2 linked regions of the Stegostoma tigrinum genome follow. The protein of the gene in region 2 interacts with the protein of the main gene of each other region in a biochemical or structural test. Links are inferred from orthologs where the notes say so. Each region holds a gene or a part of one and is shown on either strand. Other genes may lie near its edges.

The links. The genes of interacting proteins can lie anywhere in the genome.
Region 1: the proteins of pink1 (region 2) and fbxo7 form a complex in vitro, tested with the Homo sapiens proteins (2 studies listed by BioGRID, with this or other methods). The link is inferred for Stegostoma tigrinum from reciprocal best matches to the Homo sapiens genes PINK1 and FBXO7.

The regions. Positions count from the first base shown.
Region 1 is NC_081371.1:25,458,843-25,469,757, forward strand, and holds the start of fbxo7 (F-box only protein 7), read right to left. Parts: upstream 4,271-10,915; 5' UTR 4,080-4,270; intron 3,929-4,079; exon of another isoform or gene 3,821-3,928; intron 963-3,820; 5' UTR 902-962; coding exon 780-901; intron 1-779. UniProt on the Homo sapiens protein: Substrate recognition component of a SCF (SKP1-CUL1-F-box protein) E3 ubiquitin-protein ligase complex which mediates the ubiquitination and subsequent proteasomal degradation of target proteins and plays a role in several biological processes such as cell cycle, cell proliferation, or maintenance of chromosome stability.
Region 2 is NC_081381.1:30,928,493-30,939,902, reverse strand, and holds the start of pink1 (serine/threonine-protein kinase PINK1, mitochondrial), read right to left. Parts: upstream 4,976-11,410; 5' UTR 4,639-4,975; coding exon 4,312-4,638; exon of another isoform or gene 4,085-4,311; intron 2,735-4,084; exon of another isoform or gene 2,608-2,734; coding exon of another isoform or gene 2,602-2,607; intron 2,484-2,601; coding exon 1,992-2,483; intron 1-1,991. UniProt on the Homo sapiens protein: Serine/threonine-protein kinase which acts as a sensor of mitochondrial damage and protects against mitochondrial dysfunction during cellular stress.

The DNA of each region.
Region 1 (10,915 bases), on a different chromosome or scaffold from region 2:
ACCAGACCATATAAATTCAGAGCAGAAGAGAACAACAGCATTTCAACGAAGGCTAGACAACAGTGAAGATGTCACCTGGAAGGAGGTGAAACCAAGTCAGCTCAGCGAACCACCGAATAACTCCAGCCACAACCCGAGCTACAGATCTTCACTAAAACATTAAACTTTATTCCCTTGTCTAAACTTTGCGTTATTTCTTCAAACAAATGGTAATTAAATAGAATCTTCTTTTTAAAGCTGGAAAGAAAAAGCACTGATTTTTTTTCAATAAATAGCCTGTTCTTGTGCTGCAAATGCTGCAACTATTTATTTATAATGAATTCACATCTAAGTCACTGAAGCTCTTAAATTACAATTTTGAGTGATCCAACATAAATAGATAAATGAAATTAGCAAGGTGTTGTCAGGTCCTGCAACAAATTCTCATAGCATTACTTGCTACCTTGACACCCACCGGCAGGGAAAAAAAACTTAACACCATAGTAACAATAGAAATTCACATCCCACTTGAGCAACAGTCTAAACATTCTCATAGGCTGCACATACTTATAATTTTCGATAGGAATTACAAGGTATCAGTTATGATTTCCACTAAACCTCAATGTTCTAAAATTATCAAAGTCAATAATTTGTTAGTTGAGCATCATAAAAGCTTCTCAATTGGTAAAATAATCCATTTGGCCACATGAAAATCAAGACATATTCCATATCAAACCATATTAACAGCAGACTTAATATATTTAATCATAGAAACAGCAATGTGATTCTGCTTCACTTGCCTGTATCCCATAGATGGTAAAAGACAGTTAGCAATCTTACTGCGCAGGTCAGCAAGAGTGGGCTCATCCTGCTCCAATTCCACCCAACCTCTCTGTCTTTGAACTCGCACACGCAGCTTCATTGCAGCTGATTCAACATGAAGCTGTCAACTGCTGTTGGAATTTCTGCAGGTGCAAGGGGCACTAGACATAAGAGGGAGATTAAAATTACAGTATCGTTCTTAAAAAAAACTGCATCATATTTAACTGAAACGTAGGTTTTTTGACAATATGAGATAGCTTTGATAACATACACATCCAAACACCAATGTCATCATGAAAAAGTACTAAATGGAAGGACTCTAAGCGTGAAAGGAGGAAAAGAACAAAGAACAGACAGTTAGTTTCCTTTCTTTTACCTTTCAGCCAAAAGGGGAGTTCTAAACAGGCTGGAACATGCCATAATAGAGAATATATAATTCTTAATATGTTAATTAAGATCAGAGTCATTAGAAAGTGCGAACAATTTATGCCTTAAGCATTCAGTCACACTTCGTAGAAAAATTATAGTCTGTAACAAATTAAAAGAAACCATGTTATTTTACTTCTTTCATTCTAACATCTCGTGAAAAGTTTGAATTGTATCCTAAAGACACCCTAGTTCTTTTCTGAAGTAAAGTATGCACCTAGGTCCCACAATCAACAACAAGGAAAGTGACCAGCTGATCAGATTGTTTAACTAGCTAGATCAACAAGAGAACTCCCTGCCTCCTTTGAAAGTGCTTTTGGCTCTTCATTTCCCTATATGAACAGATATATAGGCAGTCATTGTAACAGCTTAAAGACATTCTTTTATTAGGATACTGTTTCATTGCTTTCATCAGCAGTTACCGTTGCTAATCTTACTTCAAAAAGGAGCTAAATATTAACAATTTTTACAAGTGATCCAAACTACAAAAAGTCAGTACATTTGCTTTGAGGAATTAACAGCCTCAAAATTTGCCAAAGGTGATCCAGGAGATATTCCATGTTCTTCTTCCTGTAGAAGCTTTGAATTTTAAAACATTTTTCCTAACTGTGCTTTAAAATGTTCACTATCACTTGAGAAAACACAGGAAGATGCATTTTTAAAAGCTTACAAGTCATAAAGAACATCGTCCAAAGGCTTGAATCACACTTAACAAATATAGATGATTATAGTTTAAGGCAAATTAATTGCTCGGGACCTCACTGCTGGAGTTTCTAAGTACAATTACTCAAACCAAGCATCTTCATCTGATGCAAAATTATCAACTCCTTAAGATCAGGAATAGGACCATTTATGAATGATTCTACCAATGTTCAAATCATTTACATTTACTCAAACAAATCAATCAGTTCTGGTCTCACAGAATGAGGACAAACATCTAGACTGGAGTTGACACATGTCAGACACTGCCCATCACCTTCAACCACTTCTTATCTTCAGTAGTACTACTATTCCTGAACTGCCATTGAACATCACTTGGGATTATCACGAAACAGACAGTTAACAGAACCAACCATTGTAACAACATGGCTACATTTGAATGGTAATGGCATACTATGTTCTGACAAATATCACACCAAATTACTCCTCAAAGCCTCTTCACTTCATATGAGGTTCAAATTAACTGCCCAATTTCACGCTGACAACATGCTAGGATAGGCTTAACAACCATCCAGGAAATCTAACAGGCCATCTGCTTGCCAATCAACAGTCCTCTCCCTTGGCACTTAGTGGCAACAGTATATACTATTGCCTGTTGGACACTGCAGAAACTCACCAAGCTTACTTCAACATCATCTTCCCAGCCCAAAGACTTCTTCGACCAAAGAAAATAGCAGCAAGATCATTAAACTTATCACCACCATCAAATTTACCACCAAAATCTGTGTCAACTTGGACATAAGTAATAAAATTAGCAAAATCCTGCAATTTCATGCTTTTAGATTTTTGGTCTTCGATTTAGCACACACCTTTTTTTGGTCAAATGTATTCTGTTCTGAAGACAACATAAAAGAAAGTAATACATGCATGCAAGACTTTCATTCCTTCAAGTTTCCTTGAAGATTACAAAATCCTCTGCCCTTTATCGTGGTGTCTCAGTCATGGTTTAGTTGTTCGCATGCTTATAATCAGGGAATTTCTGGTCCCAAAAATCCAAGGAAGAGCTGCATTGTCAAAGGTTCCGTAACTTGGCAGATCTTAAATCAAGCCCTGAATACCCTCAAAGCTGAATGTGAAAGAGCCCAATGTTCTATTTTGAAGAGTAATTAAATTATCCACAATTGACTGACCAATATCTATCCCTCGAGCAACATCACAAAATAAGAGATAACAAGGTGTAGAGCTGGATGAACACAGCAGGTCAAGCAGCATCAGAGCAGCAGGAAAGCTAACATTTCATGATCAGCTTTCCTGCTCCTCTGATGCTACTTGGCTGGCTGTGTTTATCCAGCTCTACACCTTGTCATCCCAGATTCTCCAGCATCAGCAGTTCCAACTATTTCAATCACAAAATAAGATATAGCTATTATCACATGTTGTCAATAGCAGGGCCTTGCCATTTGAAAATTGCCTGCCATGCTTCCTACACCAAAAAGTGTCATGCAAAAAGTACTTAATTTGCTGTTACTGATCATCCCATAAACTGTTATACAACCATAATCTCTATTTTTGAATGTACTATGATAACCAATTTTCTCACAAGCACCATTGAGAAATTGTTACAGCATTGTACATCACTGCTTCAGCCAATCAACCTTGTTCTCTCAGTATAAACTTATGATTTCTGAAAGTTGGCATTCTTGCATCTTTCCTGATGAGTACAAGAAGCTTCTGCTCTTATCTTGCTTCAGCAAAAAAAACAAACATACGTTCTTCCAAAGTCAAAACTTCCAAGTGCAATTGAAATTCAGATTACGATTAAGTGCAAACATTGATAAAAAAAGAAGACACTAAAATATTAAAGTAAGTGCGCTGAGGTGGAAAGCATACATGTTGTCTATTTTAGCGCAAGTTACACGGTCAAATAGCTTACCAATGTCGATGACACTGCACAACAAAAACCTAGCTACATGCTGATTTCTTGGAACGGATTATGAACAATTTCACTTTCGTTTCTTAAGTTCCATACAGCTCACGCACAAAACCCCCTTACGTTCACAAACTGCATTCCCCGCACAACCTGACAGCCCTGAACCGCGGGGGCAGAAAGGAAGCAACATTAACAGACTGGATGCGACAGGCTGTTCCTGTGGCCTAGTTCTGCACCTGACCGAGCTCCAGACGATACTTACAGATTACAGGGAGGGTAAGGCAGCGGTCTGGTCTACTCCGCTCCACCCAGGCCTACGCTCAGGCTCCGACTCCGCTGGGATGGATGTACCAGCCGCAGTCTGCTGCCGGTCACTATGGTGATTATTACAGCCCACCCCGCAAACTGACAGCAGCGTTAGCCCCACCCCATCCCACTGCCTGCGGGCCGGGGGAGGGACTATAAGCACCATGGACTGCGCCTGCTCCCGATAGTCACCAATCCAGCGCATGCTCACAACCCTCACTGTGAGGATGGAGCTGTAGTCAATGTACAGACGGGAAAGTTTTGGAGGTTTGCTGCTCTAATGTCGATCACTTCTCACCACTCACATTTTTAAAGCATATTGTGCATGATTTGTGCCTTGCATACATTTAACGATTCAGGCTCCGCTTTTCTGAAGAAGGGTCACTAGACTCGAAACATTAACTCTCTTTTCTCTCCGCAGATGCTGCTGGACCCGCTGAGTTTCTCCAGCAAATTTTGTCTTTCTTTCAGCCTACGCTGCTGTTTGCGGAAGAGATTTACAAAGACGAATGACCTTCTGACAGAAAACAGTCTTCTGACTCAACCTACTAACTTATCCAATTGCAAACTCTGTAAGCTCCTCACAATTTTTTCTCCTGCCTACATTCATGATATCATAAGCAAATTTGGCAATGGTACAGTTAGTCCCTTACCCAAGTCACAGGTTTAGGTCATAAATAATTGAAGCCCTAACACTGATCCCTAGACATTTCACTTGTTTGCTAAATTGAAAATTATCAATGAATCCCAACAAAAAGAAAATGAAAACGGTGGAAACTGGAAATCAGAAACAAATCAGAAATATCCTTTGAGAGTCTGTGCACAGCAATTGGAATGCCAACACATTTCACGGCATTGATTTCTGGTTCCAGAAGTTCCTGTCGCACATGGACTTCAGAAGTCAGCACAGAAGAAAAAAAGTGTGAGCATGCTGCCCCAAACACCATAAGCCCTTGGCTAAAACTCTAACCATTTAAATTGCACCTAAGTAAATGTCTTTTTCAAAATCCAAGTCAACTACATTTATTGATTTCTTTTATCCAGCCTGCATACTCTTCTTTAAGAACTCTAATAAATTTATCAAACCATTTCCCTTTTGTAAAGCTACGTTAACACTGCCTGATTGTATTATGATTTTCTAAATATTCTGCACCTTATTAACAATGGATTCTAGCATTTTTTCAATGATAGATGTTTAGCTGAATTAGTTTAAAGTTTTGTACTTCTGCTCTCCCTCCTTTCTTGAACACAAGTGTTACATTCTCTATTCCATAGGACCTTCCAGAATCTAGGGAACTTTAAAAGATTATAACATGCCTTGTTAGCCTTTAGTTCCATTAGTTTTCCCAGTGTGATAAGATCGCAAGGCTTAGGAATCAAGGTAAGTCAGTCAGCCCACTGGGTCTGCTCTGCCATTCAAATCATCACCTTCCTGCTTTTTTCTGATAACTCCTGATTCTCTAGTCTTGAATATATTTAATAATTTAGCCTTTACAGCCCAATTCAGCGAATAATTCCACAGATTCACTACGCTTTAAGAGGAGAAATTCCTCCTCATCTCTGTCTTAAATGGATGACCCTTTATTCTGAAATAATGCCCTGTGGTCCTAGACTCTCCCACAAGTGGAAGCAACGTTTCTGCATCTATCCTGTCAATTCCCCAAGCATGATGAATGTTTCAATAAGTCACCTATCTTTCTTCAAAACTCCAAGTGTAAGGTGTGTGATATATATTTATTTAAATAAAGTTGAATTTATAGTATGTGGGTTCTGATTTATATGCCTCAGGATTTTAAGGATTAATACAAAAGCAAAATACCACAGATGCTGGAAACCTGAAATAAAAACAGAATATATTGGAGAAAGGTCTGGCACTATCTGTGGAGAGAGAAACAGAGTTAGTGTTTCAAATCTGATATGATTCTTCTTCAGAACTTTTTCATGATTAACTCTGTAGTAACTGTTGTTTCTTTTAAAGCATAACCTGAGAAAGATAATTCTTGGAGAGTAGTTGAAATTATTCGTTATTGGGAGAGTTTTTACAAGTGAACAAAGTAAAACAGTTGTGTATTGGGCTTTCAGTTTAAAAAGTCAGAAATTGATATTTTTCCTTTTGAATGAGGAAGCACCCATAGTCTGTTAAAAAAAAAACCTTTGAATTTCAGTTGGGTAGCTTTTACAAAGCATTGGCTGAAGCTGAATGTGTGAAACCATTACTTGGAAAAAAGATACTTCAGTTCCGTCATGAAATAAATTACCTCTGTGTAAAGAGGAGAGTTTTAAAGTCCAAGACAAGAAGTTTTTGTTTAAAACATGAAGGGGTATTCGAAGCTGAGAAAGTTTACATTCAGTTATATGAAATCTCAGGGAAGAGGCTATCAGATGCTCAAGACCAGGAATAGAAGCATCTGTTAAATCAAATCTATGTGTGATTGTGTTTTAGAGGAAGAAATTCTCTCCCTGGTGAGATAGTACGAACTGCCAATGTAGGAGTCTGAGATAACAAGGAATGGAGCTGGAGAAACACAGCAGGCCAGGCAGCATCAGAGGAGCAGGAAAGCTGATGTTTTGGACATCCCAGCTATCCTTGTTTTTCAATGACCACAATTCCTCCCACCCCCCCAAGGGGTGGTCGAAAATGCCCTCCACTGCACCTCTCACATTGCCCAGACCTCAGCCCTCACATCCCCTCCCTGCAACAAAAACAAAGACAGAATTCCCCTTGTCCTCATGCATCACCCCATTAACCATCAAGATTCAATACATCATTCTCTGCCACTTCCGTCACCTGCAATCTGACCCCACTACAAAGAATATATTTCCCTCCCCACCCTTATCTGCCTTCTGGAGGGACCGCTCTCCTCACGACTCCCGCATCCACTCCACATTCCCCACTAGCCCCACCAACCTGGCACCTTTCCCTGCAACCGCAGGAAGTGCTACTCCTGCCCCTGAACCTCACCCTCATCCTATGCCCCAAAACAACCTTCCACATTAAACAGATGTTCACCTGCACATCCACTAATGCGGTCTATTTTATCCGCTGTTCCCGAGGTGGCCTTCTCTACATTGGGGAGACCAAGCGGAGTCTCAGAGACCGCGCTGTGGAGCACCTATGCTCGGTTTGCAACAAATGACAACACCTCCCCGTTGCGAACCACTTCAACTTCCCCTCCCACTCCATGGCAATATGTCCATCCTGAGCCTCCTCCAGTGTCACAACAATGCCACCCAGAAACTGAAGGAACAGCACCTCATATTCTGCCTTGGAAGCCTACAACCCAATGGTCTCAATGCGGACTTTACTAGCGTCAAAATCTCCCCACCCCCGACCTCATCCCAAAACCAGCCTGCCCCCATCCCCGCCTCCCCGATCTGTCCGTCTTCTTTCCCAGTTATCTGCTTCTTCCTCCTCACTGACCAACCCTCATCCCCACTTCCTACCTACACTCACCTTTACTAGCTTCATCCTCGCCTCCTTGACCTCTCCGTCTTCTCTCCCACCTGTCCACTCCACTATCCAGCTTCTATCACCGCACCCCCCAGTCTATTTATTTCAGAGCCCTTTCCTCTCCCCCATTTCTGAAGAAGGTCCAGACCCAAAACGTCAGCTTTCCTGCTTCTCTGATGCTGCCTGGCCTGCTGTGTTCCGCCACCTCCACATCTCTCTCTGGTGTGTGTCCTGTAAAGAGTGTTGTAGGGATTACTGGGATTATATTTAACCATGTGTTTCAATATCTTTAAACTTGTGTTATGTGTAAATGCTTTTATTTATCTATTTACCTTCATTTATTTTACATAATAAACTTCTGTTTTATTGCAAAAAACAAATCTGCAGCATTGGGTGTTTACATTTCTGTGAAAGACCACCTTGTTTAATTCAAAAATAAAATATGTCCTAGCAAGCCAAATTTCAGTCTGGAATCTAATTTGTTCAGTAATCACATCAGCTGGGGTCATAAGATAATAAAATGTGAGGCTGGATGAACACAGCAGGCCAAGCAGCATCTCAGGAGCACAAAAGCTGACGTTTCGGGCCTAGACCCTTCATCAGAGAGGGGGTTGGGGAGAGGGAACTGGAATAAATAGGGAGAGAGGGGGAGGCGGACCAAAGATGGAGAGTAAAGAAGATAGGTGGAGAGAGTATAGGTGGGGAGGTAGGGAGGGGATAGGTCAGTCCAGGGAAGACGGACAAGTCAAGGAGGTGGGATGAGGTTAGTAGGTAGCTGGGGGTGCGGCTTGGGGTGGGAGGAAGGGATGGGTGAGAGGAAGAACCGGTTAGGGAGGCAGAGACAGGTTGGACTGGTTTTGGGATGCAGTGGGTGGGGGGGAAGAGCTGGGCTGGTTGTGTGGTGCAGTGGGGGGAGGGGAGATTTTGAAACTGGTGAAGTCCACATTGATACCATACGGCTGCAGGGTTCCCAGGCGGAATATGAGTTGCTGTTCCTGCAACCTTCAGGTGGCATCATTGTGGCAGTGCAGGAGGCCCATGATGGACATGTCATCTAGAGAATGGGAGGGGGAGTGGAAATGGTTTGCGACTGGGAGGTGCAGTTGTTTGTTGCGAACTGAGCGGAGGTGTTCTGCAAAGCGGTCCCCAAGCCTCCGCTTGGTTTCCCCAATGTAGAGGAAGCCGCACCGGGTACAGTGGATGCAGTATACCACATTGGCAGATGTGCAGGTGAACCTCTGCTTAATGTGGAATGTCATCTTGGGGCCTGGGATAGGGGTGAGGGAGGAGGTGTGGGGGCAAGTGTAGCATTTCCTGCGGTTGCAGGGGAAGGTGCCGGGTGTGGTGGGGTTGGAGGGCAGTGTGGAGCGAACAAGGGAGTCACGGAGAGAGTGGTCTCTCCGGAAAGCAGACAGGGGTGGGGATGGAAAAATGTCTCGGGTGGTGGGGTCGGATTGTAAATGGCGGAAGTGTCGGAGGATCTGAGTCAGTGTCAGAGACAACAGTGGAAGGTACTGTGGAGTGGGTGAATGATGGAAGTTAACAATTCTTGAGCAATTGCCACATAGGACAGCATGCCAGTGCTTCCACAGGATTTAATCTCAACATATCTCAGTCGCTTGACCTCCTATAATCCAGAGACCAAAGTGTTATTGATGTTATTAATTTGAATTCAAAATTAACATTTATTTATTGTCTATTTATTCCTTCATTGAGGAAGTGACAAAGTTGATAGATGAGGGAAGAGCTGAAGATGTCATATATATATGGACTTCAGTAAAGCGTTTGATAAGGTTCCCCATGGTCGGTTTATAGAGAAAGTGAAGTCGCTTGGGGTCAAGATAGATGGATAGAGAACTGGCTGGGCAACAGGAGACAGAGAGTTGTAGTGGAAGGGAGTTTCTCAAAATGGAAACTGTGACCAGTGGTGTTCCACAGGGATCCGTATTGGGACCACTGTCATTTGTGCTATAGATAAATGATCTGCTACGCCACCAATCTTGCTAATCAGACCATCTATTCCTTTCTCCAGATCATTTATCTATAGCACAAATGACAGTGGTCCCAATACGGATCCCTGTGGAACACCACTGGTCACAGTTTCCATTTTGAGAAACTCCCTTCCACTACAACTCTCTGTCTCCTGTTGCCCAGCCAGTTCTCTATCCATCTATCTTGACCCCAAGCGACTTCACTTTCTCTATAAACCGACCATGGGGAACCTTATCAAACGCTTTACTGAAGTCCATATATATATGACATCTTCAGCTCTTCCCTCATCTATCAACTTTGTCACTTCCTCAATGAAGGAATAAATAGACAATAAATAAATGTTAATTTTGAATTCAAATTAATAACATCAATAACACTTTGGTCTCTGGATTATAGGAGGTCAAGCGACTGAGATATGTTGAGATTAAATCCTGTGGAAGCACTGGCATGCTGTCCTATGTGGCAATTGCTCAAGAATTGTTAACTTCCATCATTCACCCACTCCACAGTACCTTCCACTGTTGTCTCTGACACTGACTCAGATCCTCCGACACTTCCGCCATTTACAATCCGACCCCACCACCCGAGACATTTTTCCATCCCCACCCCTGTCTGCTTTCCGGAGAGACCACTCTCTCCGTGACTCCCTTGTTCGCTCCACACTGCCCTCCAACCCCACCACACCCGGCACCTTCCCCTGCAACCGCAGGAAATGCTACACTTGCCCCCACACCTCCTCCCTCACCCCTATCCCAGGCCCCAAGATGACATTCCACATTAAGCAGAGGTTCACCTGCACATCTGCCAATGTGGTATACTGCATCCACTGTACCCGGTGCGGCTTCCTCTACATTGGGGAAACCAAGCGGAGGCTTGGGGACCGCTTTGCAGAACACCTCCGCTCAGTTCGCAACAAACAACTGCACCTCCCAGTCGCAAACCATTTCCACTCCCCCTCCCATTCTCTAGATGACATGTCCATCATGGGCCTCCTGCACTGCCACAATGATGCCACCTGAAGGTTGCAGGAACAGCAACTCATATTCCGCCTGGGAACCCTGCAGCCGTATGGTATCAATGTGGACTTCACCAGTTTCAAAATCTCCCCTTCCCCTACTGCATCCCTAAACCAGCCCAGTTCGTCCCCTCCCCCCACTGCACCACACAACCAGCCCAGCTCTTCCCCCCCCCCACCCACTGCATCCCAAAACCAGTCCAACCTGTCTCTGCCTCCCTAACCGGTTCTTCCTCTCACCCATCCCTTCCTCCCACCCCAAGCCGCACCCCCATCTACCTACTAACCTCATCCCACCTCCTTGACCTGTCCGTCTTCCCTGGACTGACCTATC
Region 2 (11,410 bases):
CAGTCCAGGGAAGACGGACAGGTCAAGGAGGTGGGATGAAGTTAGTAGGTAGGAAATGGAGGTGCGGCTTGAGGCGGGAGGCAGGGATGGGTGAGAGGAAGAACAGGTTAGAGAGGCAGAGACAGGCTGGGCTGGTTTTGGGATGCAGTGGGGGGAGGGGACGAACTGGGCTGGTTTTGGGGGAAGGGGGGATTTTGAAGCTGGTGAAGTCCACATTGATACCATTGGGCTGCAGGGTTCCCAAGCGGAATATGAGTTGCTGTTCCTGCAACCTTCGGGTGGCATCCTTGTGGCACTGCAGGAGGCCTATGATGGACATGTCGTCTGAAGAATGAGAGGTGGTGGTGGGGGGGGGGGAGAGAAGAGTTAAAATGGTTCGCGACTGGGAGGTGCAGTTGTTTACTGCGAACCGAGCGGAGGTGTTCTGCAAGCAGTCCCCAAGCCTCCGTTTGGTTTCCCCAATGTAGAGGATGCCACACTGGGTACAATGGATACAGTATACCACATTTGCAGATGTGCAGGTGAACCTCTGCTTAATACGGAAAGTCATCTTGGGGCCTGGGATGGGGGTGAGGGAGGAGGTGTGGGGGCAAGCGTAGCACTTCCTGCGGTTGCAGGGGAAGGTGCCAGGTGTGGTGGGGTTGGAGGGCAGTGTGGAGCGAACAAGGGAGTCACGGAGAGAGTGGTCTCTCTGGAAGGCAGAGAAGGGTGGGGATGGAAAAATGTCTTGGGTAGTGAGGTCGGATTGTGGATGGCGGAAGTGTCGGAGGATGATGCGTTGTATCTGGAGGTTGGTGGGGTGGTGTGTGAGAACAAGGGGGATCCTCTTTGGGCGGTTGTGGCGGGGGCGGGGTGCGAGGGATGTGTTGCGGGAAATGCGGGATATGCGGTCAAGGGCATTCTCGACCACTGCGGGGAGGAAAGTTGCGGTCCTTGAACAATGTGGACATCTGGGATGTGCGGGAGTGGAATACCTCATCCTGGGAGCAGATGCGGCGGAGGCGGAGGAATTGGGAATAGGGGATGGAATTTTTGCAGGAGGGTGGGTGGGAGGAGGTGTATTCTAGGTAGCTGTGGGAGTCGGTGGGCTTGAAATAGACATCAGTTACTAGCTGGTTGCCGGAGATGGAGACTGAGAGGTCCAGGAAGGTGAGGGATGTGTTGGAGATGGCCCAGGTGAACTTGAGGTTGGGGTGGAAGGTGTTGGTCAACCGTGTAGCATGTTAACTGATTGATGTGACTGAATCACATCAACAAGTAGTACAGAAATGTCTCAAATCTAGACCTGACAGTTTAATGGTGGTAGCTCAGAAGACAGCCAATACTAGCTTTCTAGGCTAGAGAGCCTCTGGATCAAAACTCAAATGAATTCAAGAAGCTAATTTCTAAACTTATCTCCAGTACTCCTCTCCTGTTGAGCATCACTTTGATGCAAAAGAAATTGCAAAGGTTTTCATGCTTTAAGGCATGGAGAGGCTTAAACATGAGAGAAATACAATTAAATACATCTTCACAACCATCTACAGTCACTTACCCCTCAATGATCCACTCCATAATGATTTTAGGAAGTGTTACCACTATAGCACTGCCAAACTTTAAATCCTCCACAGGCTGCACATCAGATATGGTTAGTTCTGATGGTCACTTGTTTTCTTATGTGCAATTATTTCGGGCCTATGTAGGGACTTCACTCATCCATGGCAAATATTTCGATTCTTAGTTTTGCTTTGATTTCGTCCTGATGTTACACACTTATTATTAAGGCTATTAATTACATTGACAAGCAATTGTGTTTTACAGGAAAAAAATGTAAATTTAAAGAATGCACCTTTTTACAATAAAAGACAGAAGTATTTTAAATTGAAAGCACTGCAGACAAATTATTGGAAGCAAAAGAAATTCCAATTGCAAGTCTCGTGCCACATCACCAGCATATGGTTATCTTCCACTTGGCTCAAACAACAAATTGTGCATTTCAATGTTTGACTTACATTTATGTTCCAAAGCATTTTTAGAGCAAGTGGATAGCTGGTTTCTCCTTCAGGTACCTTCAGGGGGTAGTTGGTGTCTTCCTCGAAGGCCCTCAGGAGGTAACTGCTGCCTCCACAAGAAACTCTCAAGGGGTTGCTGGTGTCTCCTTCACAAGCCCTCAGCGAGTCTGTTAACATTTCTTTTTTCAAAATCACAAAACTCAAACTTGAGTTTTCCTGTGTAATCGCTACCTTCTTTCTTTCTCCAGAATCCTCACCAGAGACACACTGACCTTCACTCTTCACCTGCCTGTTAACTACTTCATCTTTCTCCTTTGTCGTGATCTTGTCACTTGCTTTTGTTTTGGGTACTTCAGGGATAAAGGCCTTGTACACAGCTGCATTACACCCCTTTCCAATGTTGTATCCAATCTTGTAATCTTCAAATCGATATCCACTCGTGTGTGAAGGCATGGAGTTTTCATACTTGATTTTCTTCCTTTTAAACAATGTCTGGCAAATGGAAATAATTCAACAATTATTCTCATTAACTAACCAAATATATGCAAATAAGTGCACATTTATGCAAATTGGAACTTTTTCAAATGTAGTTATAAAGAATGAACCAAACCTCCATTCAGTTTTGAGTAGAATTGATTTTAAAACAAAAACAAAGCTCTGCCAAGAAGAGATCCGCCATTAATATGACTCCACCAAATTCTTCACCACTAGCGAACAGTGCAATTCTCCAGGGCTTGCTTAGGAAATTATGAAGCTACGGCTTCATTGTCAGACTATGAAGAAAGAAAGACTGACATTGTGGTAAACTCCTACGTTTCATAATAATGTTGAATGTTTAGGAACATAGAGTCCCTCAAATCTGTGCTCCCATTCTAGATTATGACTGATCATCCACCCAAAAACCATTTTCCAATACTATCCCCATATCCCAAGATGTTATTAGTACGAGCTTCCTTGTGGTAGAAAACGAATTATATCAAGCAAGTCAAAACAACGCTCACTGATGTAGCAGAAATTTTGCTATTTGGGCATTTTGTTGCTCAACTAAGTCTTATTTTGTCTCAGTTTTCTAATTCTCCAAAAGGTGTGTCCTCTGTTAACCTATTGGTTCATGTTTACAATTGGCAGTGTTAAATAGTGACAGATCATATTTGAAAATTAAATTTAGGAAACATTTTACTGATTTTTAAAAAATTTTTAAACATTTTTATTTGCCATATCTCCACTCCTTAATCTCATCTTTCTTTTGCTTTCTGAACATAATTGCTCAGTGAATTCAATATTAAAACTTACACTTCCTGGTTCAAACTTTGAAAGTGTCAATCTTTCTATTTCTTCTCGTGTTCTTCAGTACTCAAATTCTCTGTAGGATATTGTGTTGTCCATTTCTAAATCACACATTTTTTATTGCTAAAGCTCATACAAAGTCTGTAGGCAATTTTATGTCTTATGCACGGCTAGGATGAGAGGTTGAGGATAAGAGGTAGCAGATTTAAAGAGAGAGGAGGGGAAAATTACTTCTTTCAAAGGGTTGTGAATCTGTGGAATTCACTATTTCAGTATGCGCTGGATGCTGGGACATTGAGTAAATTTAAGCAGGAGATAGACAGTAAATTGGCTAAATGGTTATGGAGAGGACAGAGGAGAGTAGAGTTGAGACCAAGAAGAGATCAGCCGTGTTCCTATCAAACGGTGGAGCAGGGTCAAGGGATTGAATTGCCTATCCCTGCTCCTTGTTCTTCTGACATTTTAAAAAAATTTGCTGGGTAGTTATTGGGATATGATTGCACAGCATCTATTTAATAAAATGGACCAAAAGAGCCTAGACCATCATATCAAAGTTTAAATGGAAGTTGACCGTCAAAATTTGGTGACGTCCAAACTGACAGAGAGCTTAATCAGGTAAACTACATCAGGTGCATGTCAGAGATCATAATAAAAGTTTAGGTAAGAAAGGAGAGCATTCAACTTGGGGCTTTCGCCTAAAATTGACGTTGAGAAAATTAGCTTCCAACACCACTATCACCTACAGCGAAGCCGGCGAAAAGTCAGAGATAACGGGAACTGCAGATGCTGGAGAATTCCAAGATAATAAAATGTGAGGCTGGATGAACACGGCAGGCCAAGCAGCATCTCAGGAGCACAAAAGCTGACGTTTCGGGCCTAGACCCTTCATCAGTCCAGCCTGTCTCTGCCTCCACATTTTATTATCCGGCGAAAAGTCAGGCGGCTGTTAGACAACAGCAAGACGGAAAAGCAGCATATCGCAAGGAGCATTAATCTATTTGTTCAAACGATGCCCGGACCGACGTTTATTTACCTGGATCTCCTCGCAGGCAGCGATGCTCGTCCTCACCTCCTCCACCTGCTGTTCGATGAAGCCCAGGCCCAGGCCGAAGGCCAGCAAAGCACCGCCCGGCCCGCGGAGCTGCCAAGACGCCCGGCGCTGTAGCTGAGCCGCTAGGCCGCCCAAAGACAGGCGGAAATAGCGGTAGCGGGCGGGTAGGACGGCTTGGAGCGGCTGCTGGGCCCAGGGTTGCACAAAGGCCGCGCCCGCCTGAGCCCGAGCTCGAGCTGCGGGATTGACGAGGCGCAAGGCCGAGCGGCTGAGGTCCAGGCCGCGGGCCAGGAGTCGTCGCACCGACATTTTGAAGGTTTAAAACCTCCGATTTATCTTTTCAACATTGTTGAAGATAAACAGCAACCGTTTGAGACGAAAGGGAACGTTAAATGTTACCAACCGGGAAATATCACCTTCAAAACAAGCCCGGTAACCATAGCAACAGTCATCATAAACCGCCTCCGAACTGGGCAGTTACAAACCAAACACCAGCTTTATTTTCAGCTGCAGATCCGCCCCTTCAAAGACCAATGAACACAATAACATGGAGACAGCGTGGTCCACTTCCAAGGTATTTACGATTTTGTTGCTTTCCCATGAAGGCCAGCAGAGAAAACTAGGAGAAAATATCTTCCAGAAAATCTCAAGCCCACAAGACATGGAATTAGCACTGACACAAAATTTGGGAGAGAAAAGGCCAACCTCGAAGCTTGAAAAATAGTGAACAGAACACCCTCTACGAAAAGTAAAAAATAGCAGTGATGAAAACATTGGATGGGATGGAAATTTTGGGAAAAGATGACCAACAGCTTGAAAAACAATGATAGAATTTCCATAAAAGCCCACAATTCAAGAATATCCGTTCTATTACAGATACTTCGCCATACAAAGTTGATGTCTCTACCCAGCATTGTTAAGCACGTCCTCTAGACCCATATTTTGCTTCTTAATAATCTATTAACGCTCCCCATTATGTTTTGCTGCCATGTTTTCAGCTCAGTTCCACAACTCAGCTTCTTGTCTCTCTCCTTGCGTAACCCTCCTTTTTATCCGGCTTTGTACTCGCTTCTAAACTGTTAAACCTCTTATCTTGTTCTCATTATGATAAGTGATCATTGACCTGAAGCTTAACTGCACTTATCTGTACTCTGATGCTGTGTAACCTCCTCAGTGCTTTCAACGATTTTGTTTCATAGCTTTACCTTTTAATGACTTGGAAAATGAAACAAGTACCAGCAAGCCTCAAAGGAGGAACACAAACATTAAAAACACAGATCTGGTTATGAGTCCTTTAAGGAGGGAACTCCTAGGGTTCATACCCTCATGGAAAATTTTAAGTTCACATTTTACAGTTGAAAATTCTGGTTACAACAACTCAGATTTATATAGTCACTTGGCGGAACAGAATCTGAGTATGATTGTAACACCAGCAGGATGGGTTCAGTTGTCATACTAGCTGAGGTTACCATGAAGGTCTGTCCTTCTCAACCTCTTCCCCTTGCAAGGTGACTCACAGGGTAAGCCATCACCGATCATCTCTCTCTTGAGAAAGCAGTACTGTGGTCTTTGGGACTATGGCGACTTTGCTCTGTGGGGAGTCGAGTAGCTTACTTGGCTGGCTGGATTGCGATACCAACATGTGAATTGAATTCAAGTACTGCATGAGGTCACTATGAAGGTCCCATCTTCTTGAGCTCACCCCTTGCCTGAGGCGAGGTGACCCTCAGGTTAAACTACCGCTGGTCGTCTCTGTTTAATGAGCGAGCAGCCCTACGTCCTTTGGGACCAGGGTAACAACTTTATTACTGCAAAAGGAAACATGCTGTTGAAATTAGAGATAATGGGAACTGCAGATGCTGCTTGGCTTGCTGTGTTTATCCAGCTCCACACTTTGTTACGCTGTTGAAATGTTTTGTCCTGCAGTCATCATGACAATTACAAGAATATCAAATTTCAAACGGAGCAACAATTTATACTACATGGGGGGGGGGGGGTATAGATTAGAGTTAATTGCAATTTTCTTTTACCTGGGATGGGGTATTTCAAAACTAGAGGGCACGTTTTTAAGATGGGAGGAGAGAGATTTTAAAAAGCCATGAGGGGCAATTTTTTATTTTACAAAGAGGGTAGTTCACGTGTTGAATGAATTTCCTGAGGAAATGGTGGTTGTTGGTATAATAACAACATTTAATAGACATTTGGATAAGTACATGAATAGGAAATGTTTGGAGGGATATGGACCAGGACCAGGCAGGTGGGGCCAGTTTAGTTTGGGATTACATTTCGCATGGACTGGTTGGACTGAGGGGTCCATTTCTGTGCTGTATGACTCAATGACTCTATGCATGGAAAAAGGATACTGATTGTTTGGCAAGTAGACGCTGACTGAGGTGTTTACATGGAGAATTCCCCTAGAGAAATGTTGTTCCCTCCCCCCAACCTTTTTGGTTTGTTGAAAAAGGCACAATATCTGCAGGGTTTTATTTTGTTTTGCTAAAAGCTACATCTATTCATACACAGGACTCTCAAAAAGCCTATTTCTTCCCCACATTCAACATTTCCTTCTTATTTATTGCTCAACCCAACCCCTCCCCTTCTTAGTTGTTACCATCCTACCTCTCTCCACATTTATCACTTATTCATTGCCATCCAAGTACTACCACCGTTATCCCCTTCATTATCTCTCTCCCCTGCTCTTTATTCACTCCCACTACCCTTTATTAATGCCCATCTTCCCTTCACTATCTCCACCTCAAAGTGCGGATATCCATTTGCTCTGTATGTAGAAATGAAAGGTACTACTCCTCTGCATTTACTTCACTCAAACAAACCTCTTAAATTAACAGCATAACCAATGTCATCAGTATCTTTAAGCATAGAGACATTTAAACAATGGTAGGCACATGGAATGGGAAGAGGAGGTTTTGGTAAACAACCTAAATATCTCCTGTCAGCTAGTTTCGTAATAAAGAAAAATCTTGTATCAGCTGTAGGTCAGTTGATAGTACCCTTATCTCCCAAGACAGAAGGTTATGAATTTCAGTCTCATTCCAGGATGCAAGTACATAAGTTTAGATATCAGATCGTTATTACATTGCTATTTGTGGGAGCTTGCTGTGTGCAAATTAACTGTTGCTTTCTCTACATTACAATAGTGACTAAACTTCAAAAAGTACTTAGTGGCCATAAAGCATTTTAATTCATCCTGAGGTCATGAATGTGCTATAGAATTGCAAGTCTTTATTATCAATTTTGAGGTAACCCTCCTGTTTTTTTTTCTTCTATTGTGGGTGTTTCTGGCAAGGCCAGCAATTGCTGCCCATCTCTAATTACTGTTGAACTGTGGCTTGCTCGGCCGTTTCAGAGGGCAGTTAAGAGTCAATTACTTGTCTGTATGTCTGGAGTCAAATGTAGGCCATTCCAGTTAAAGGTAGCAGATTTAATTCCCAAATGGACAATTGTGAACGAGATGGGTTTTTATAACAAATTGTCATGGTTACCAATACTCAAACTGGCTTTATAATCCAGATTTATTCACTGAATTAAAATTTCATCAGCTGCCATGGTCGGTTTTGAACCTCAGAGGATTAACCTGAGTGATGATTACCAGCCCAGTGGCATTACCATTACTGCACTAAACATAAACACCAGTGCTGCACTGCAAATTTCCAAAATGAAAGGCAAATATGTACCGTGAGAAACATAGGTCATCATTCAGGTGTTAAAAATAAATTACCCTACATACGAGGTATTGTAGTGGATTTCACTAGCTTATTTTGAGAATACACTTGCCTTTTTTGGCATGGTCCCCCTATTTCCCATTTCTTTCTGATCTTGGCTTTAGTGAGCCCTGCTTTCAAACTTCTAGTTTCCAGCTTCACCTTTGTGATCTTGGTCTCCCATTCACCCCTGTCTGGGCTTTTTACTCTTCTGTTCCTTTCCTTGTCCTCTGGTCTGTTGATCTCCTGGCTTACTTTTGAGGTTTCCCATCCCCCTTTCCCAGGAGAATTAGGACGTCTGTAGCCATTTGTCATATCTTTCGGAAATGCCCAAATCAGTTTAAATGTATGAATCCGATTTCAAAGTATTGACTTAGCAAAGTCCCACACAGAGCAAATGAGATGAATAACCAGTTATCTTGTTTTTGGTCACATCACTCACAGGAGGATTTTGTACAGGACACCTGAAGAACTTACTTATTCTTTCATTTATGTGCTTTCGTATCCACTTAAATCACCTGGACAGGTGATAGAATCTATCTAATTTGTCTGCAAACAACACTTTCCTTTAGCATGTTTTGTTTTTGGGCGGTGTCTTGGAAGGTTTTACAGTGCACTACTCAGTGCAAAGGATATAGCTAGAGACCAACTTTTTCAAAGTAGTTCTTTATTTACATTATGTTAAATACATACATTCTAGCAAAGCACGCAACCTGGGTTGTTGCTCCTTCTTCAGAAGCTTATGTGATCATAACATTATCAATAAGTAGCTTCCTCTGTATATGTTCAATAGTTAGTGTTAGAAATAACCCTTTGCACTACATCTTACCTCTCTCCTGTTCAATTATTTTTCTCTCTGCACAATGGAATTCCTGCTCTTCCTACTCCTGTATACTACTGCACTGGAATCACATCACCAGCTCAAGCTCTGAATTAAGCTTGAATGTACAATCAAAGGGGATCTAATTTTGAGATCCCAATATGTAAGTCAGTTTTTACCATGATTAAGGACAGATGCAGAGCACTCTCAAAAATTGAATGCAAAGTAATTCAAATCTATTTGCAGTGGCATGGGAGAAGTAAAACTTTACTTTGTCTTTTGGGTACTGTGCATGCATTTGAGCTTTATGTTCTCCTAAACCCCATCTCCTGGCTTTGAAAACCAATATTATTCATTGATTTCAGAATAATGGGCATTCCAACGCAAAATTTGAATATCTGGTTGTATGCCCTGAGATTTTCATTTTATTATATGAACTCTGTCCTGTAGGCTTTCATGTATTCATGCTGCAAACATCTGCAAAACAGGTGAATGTTGAACATATGCTTAAAGCTATCTTAAAGATACAAACAAAAGACTCAACTTCTAAATACAAACAGAAAATGGTTAAACTATTCAGCAGGTTAGACAGCATCCATGGAGAGAAAAACATTTAACGATCAGGCTCATGTTCTTTCAACAAAACTTGAGGAAAGATAGAAAAAATAATAAATTTTGAGCAAGTGAAAGGTCTTGAGGAGGACAAGAAAAATTAAATGGCAAAAGGTGTCATGGAAAAAAGAAATGGATGGTAAGTACACCCAAGGACTACAGCAGTTCAAGAAGGCTACAGAATTGGATAGAAAATTGGCAGAAAGCTGGGAGACAGAGTAGTGATGGATGAACAAAAACAAAGTTGCTGGAAAAGCTCAGCAGGTCTGGCAGCATCTGCGAAGGAAAAAAAACTGAGTTAACATTTCGGGTCTGGTAACCATTCCTCCTGGACGTGAAATATTAACTATGTTTTTTCCTTCACAGATGCTGCCAGACCTGCTGAGTTTTTGCAGCAACTTTGTTTTGTTCCTGATTTACAGCATCCACGGTTCTTTCAGTAGTGGTGGAGTGTTGCTTTTCAGACTGAAGGCATGTGACCAGCAGTGTGCTGCAAAGATCAGTTCTGAGTCCACTGCTTTTTAATCATTGATGTAAATGATTTGGATGTGAACAAAGGAGGGATGGTTAGTAAGTTTGGTATCATCTGCAAAATTGGTGGTGTAGTGAACAGCGAAGATGATTACTTCAGAGTACAACAGGATCCTGATCAGATGGGCTGAGGAGTGGTAGACAGTTTAATCTAGATGAATGTGAGGTGCTACATTTTAATAGGGCAAATCATGGCAGGACTTATACACTTAATGGCAAGGTCCTGGGGAATGTTACTGAACAAAGAGACTTTGGAGTGCAGCTTCACGGTTCTTTGAAATTGGAGTTGCAAGTAGACAAGGTAGCGAAGAAGGTGATTGGTATGCTTGCCTTTATTGATCAATGCATTGAGTATAGGAGTTGGGTCATTTTGCGGCTGTTCAGGACATTGGTTAGGCCACTTTTGGAATACTGCATTCAGTTCTGACCTCTCTGCCATAGCAGGATGTTGCGAAAATTGAAAGGGTTCAGAGAAGATTTACAAGCATGTTGCCAGAGTTAGATGGTTTAAGCTATGAGGAAAGGCTAAATAGGCTGGGGCTATTTTCCCCAGAGTGCCAGAGGCTAAGGGGTGACCTGATAGAGGTTTATAAAATCATGAGGCGCAGTGATAGGGTGAATAGTCAAGGTCTTTTCCCCAAGGTAGGGGAATCCAAAACTGGAGGGCTTCGGTTTAATGTGAGAGTGGAAAGATTCAAAAGGGACCTAAGGGGCAACCTTTACATGCAGGAGGTGGGGCACGTGTGAAATGAGTTGCCAGAGGAAGTGGCGAAGGCCGGTACAATTGACATTTAAAAGAGTACATGAATAGGAAGAGGATTATGGGCCAAATGCTGGCAAATGGGACTAGATTAATTTAGGATATCTAGTCGGCATAGACAAGTTGGACTGTAGGGTGTGTTTCCACTTTGAACTTTTTCTACAACTCTGAGGCAATTTACTATCACTTTTGCAAGGCAGTCAGAGATGAGTAACAGACGCTTCTCTGCTAGTGATATCCATATCCCCCAAATAAATGTATATCCAACCTAGAGAGATTAAGAAACTAAAGATGTGACCAGATAAAGTGTACTGACTGAACAGCATGCGTATGACTGCAAAGTGAACATACTAACAGAAAGCAGAAGTAGGCCATTTAGCACTTCAAACCTGTCTGCTGATCAAATGGTTGATCTATAACTTTAAATCTGTATTCCAACTTACCCCAATAACCTTTCAACCCTTTGGCTTAACTAGAATCTATCTGCCTGAGCCTTAAAAATATTCATGGACTTTGCTTCCATGAACTTTTTTAGAAAAAGAGTTCTAAAGTCTTGTGACCCTCTGAGAGAGGTAATGAAAGATGATTTCATCTGTGGCTTAAATGTTCTGAGGAAGGGTCACCGGACCTGAAATG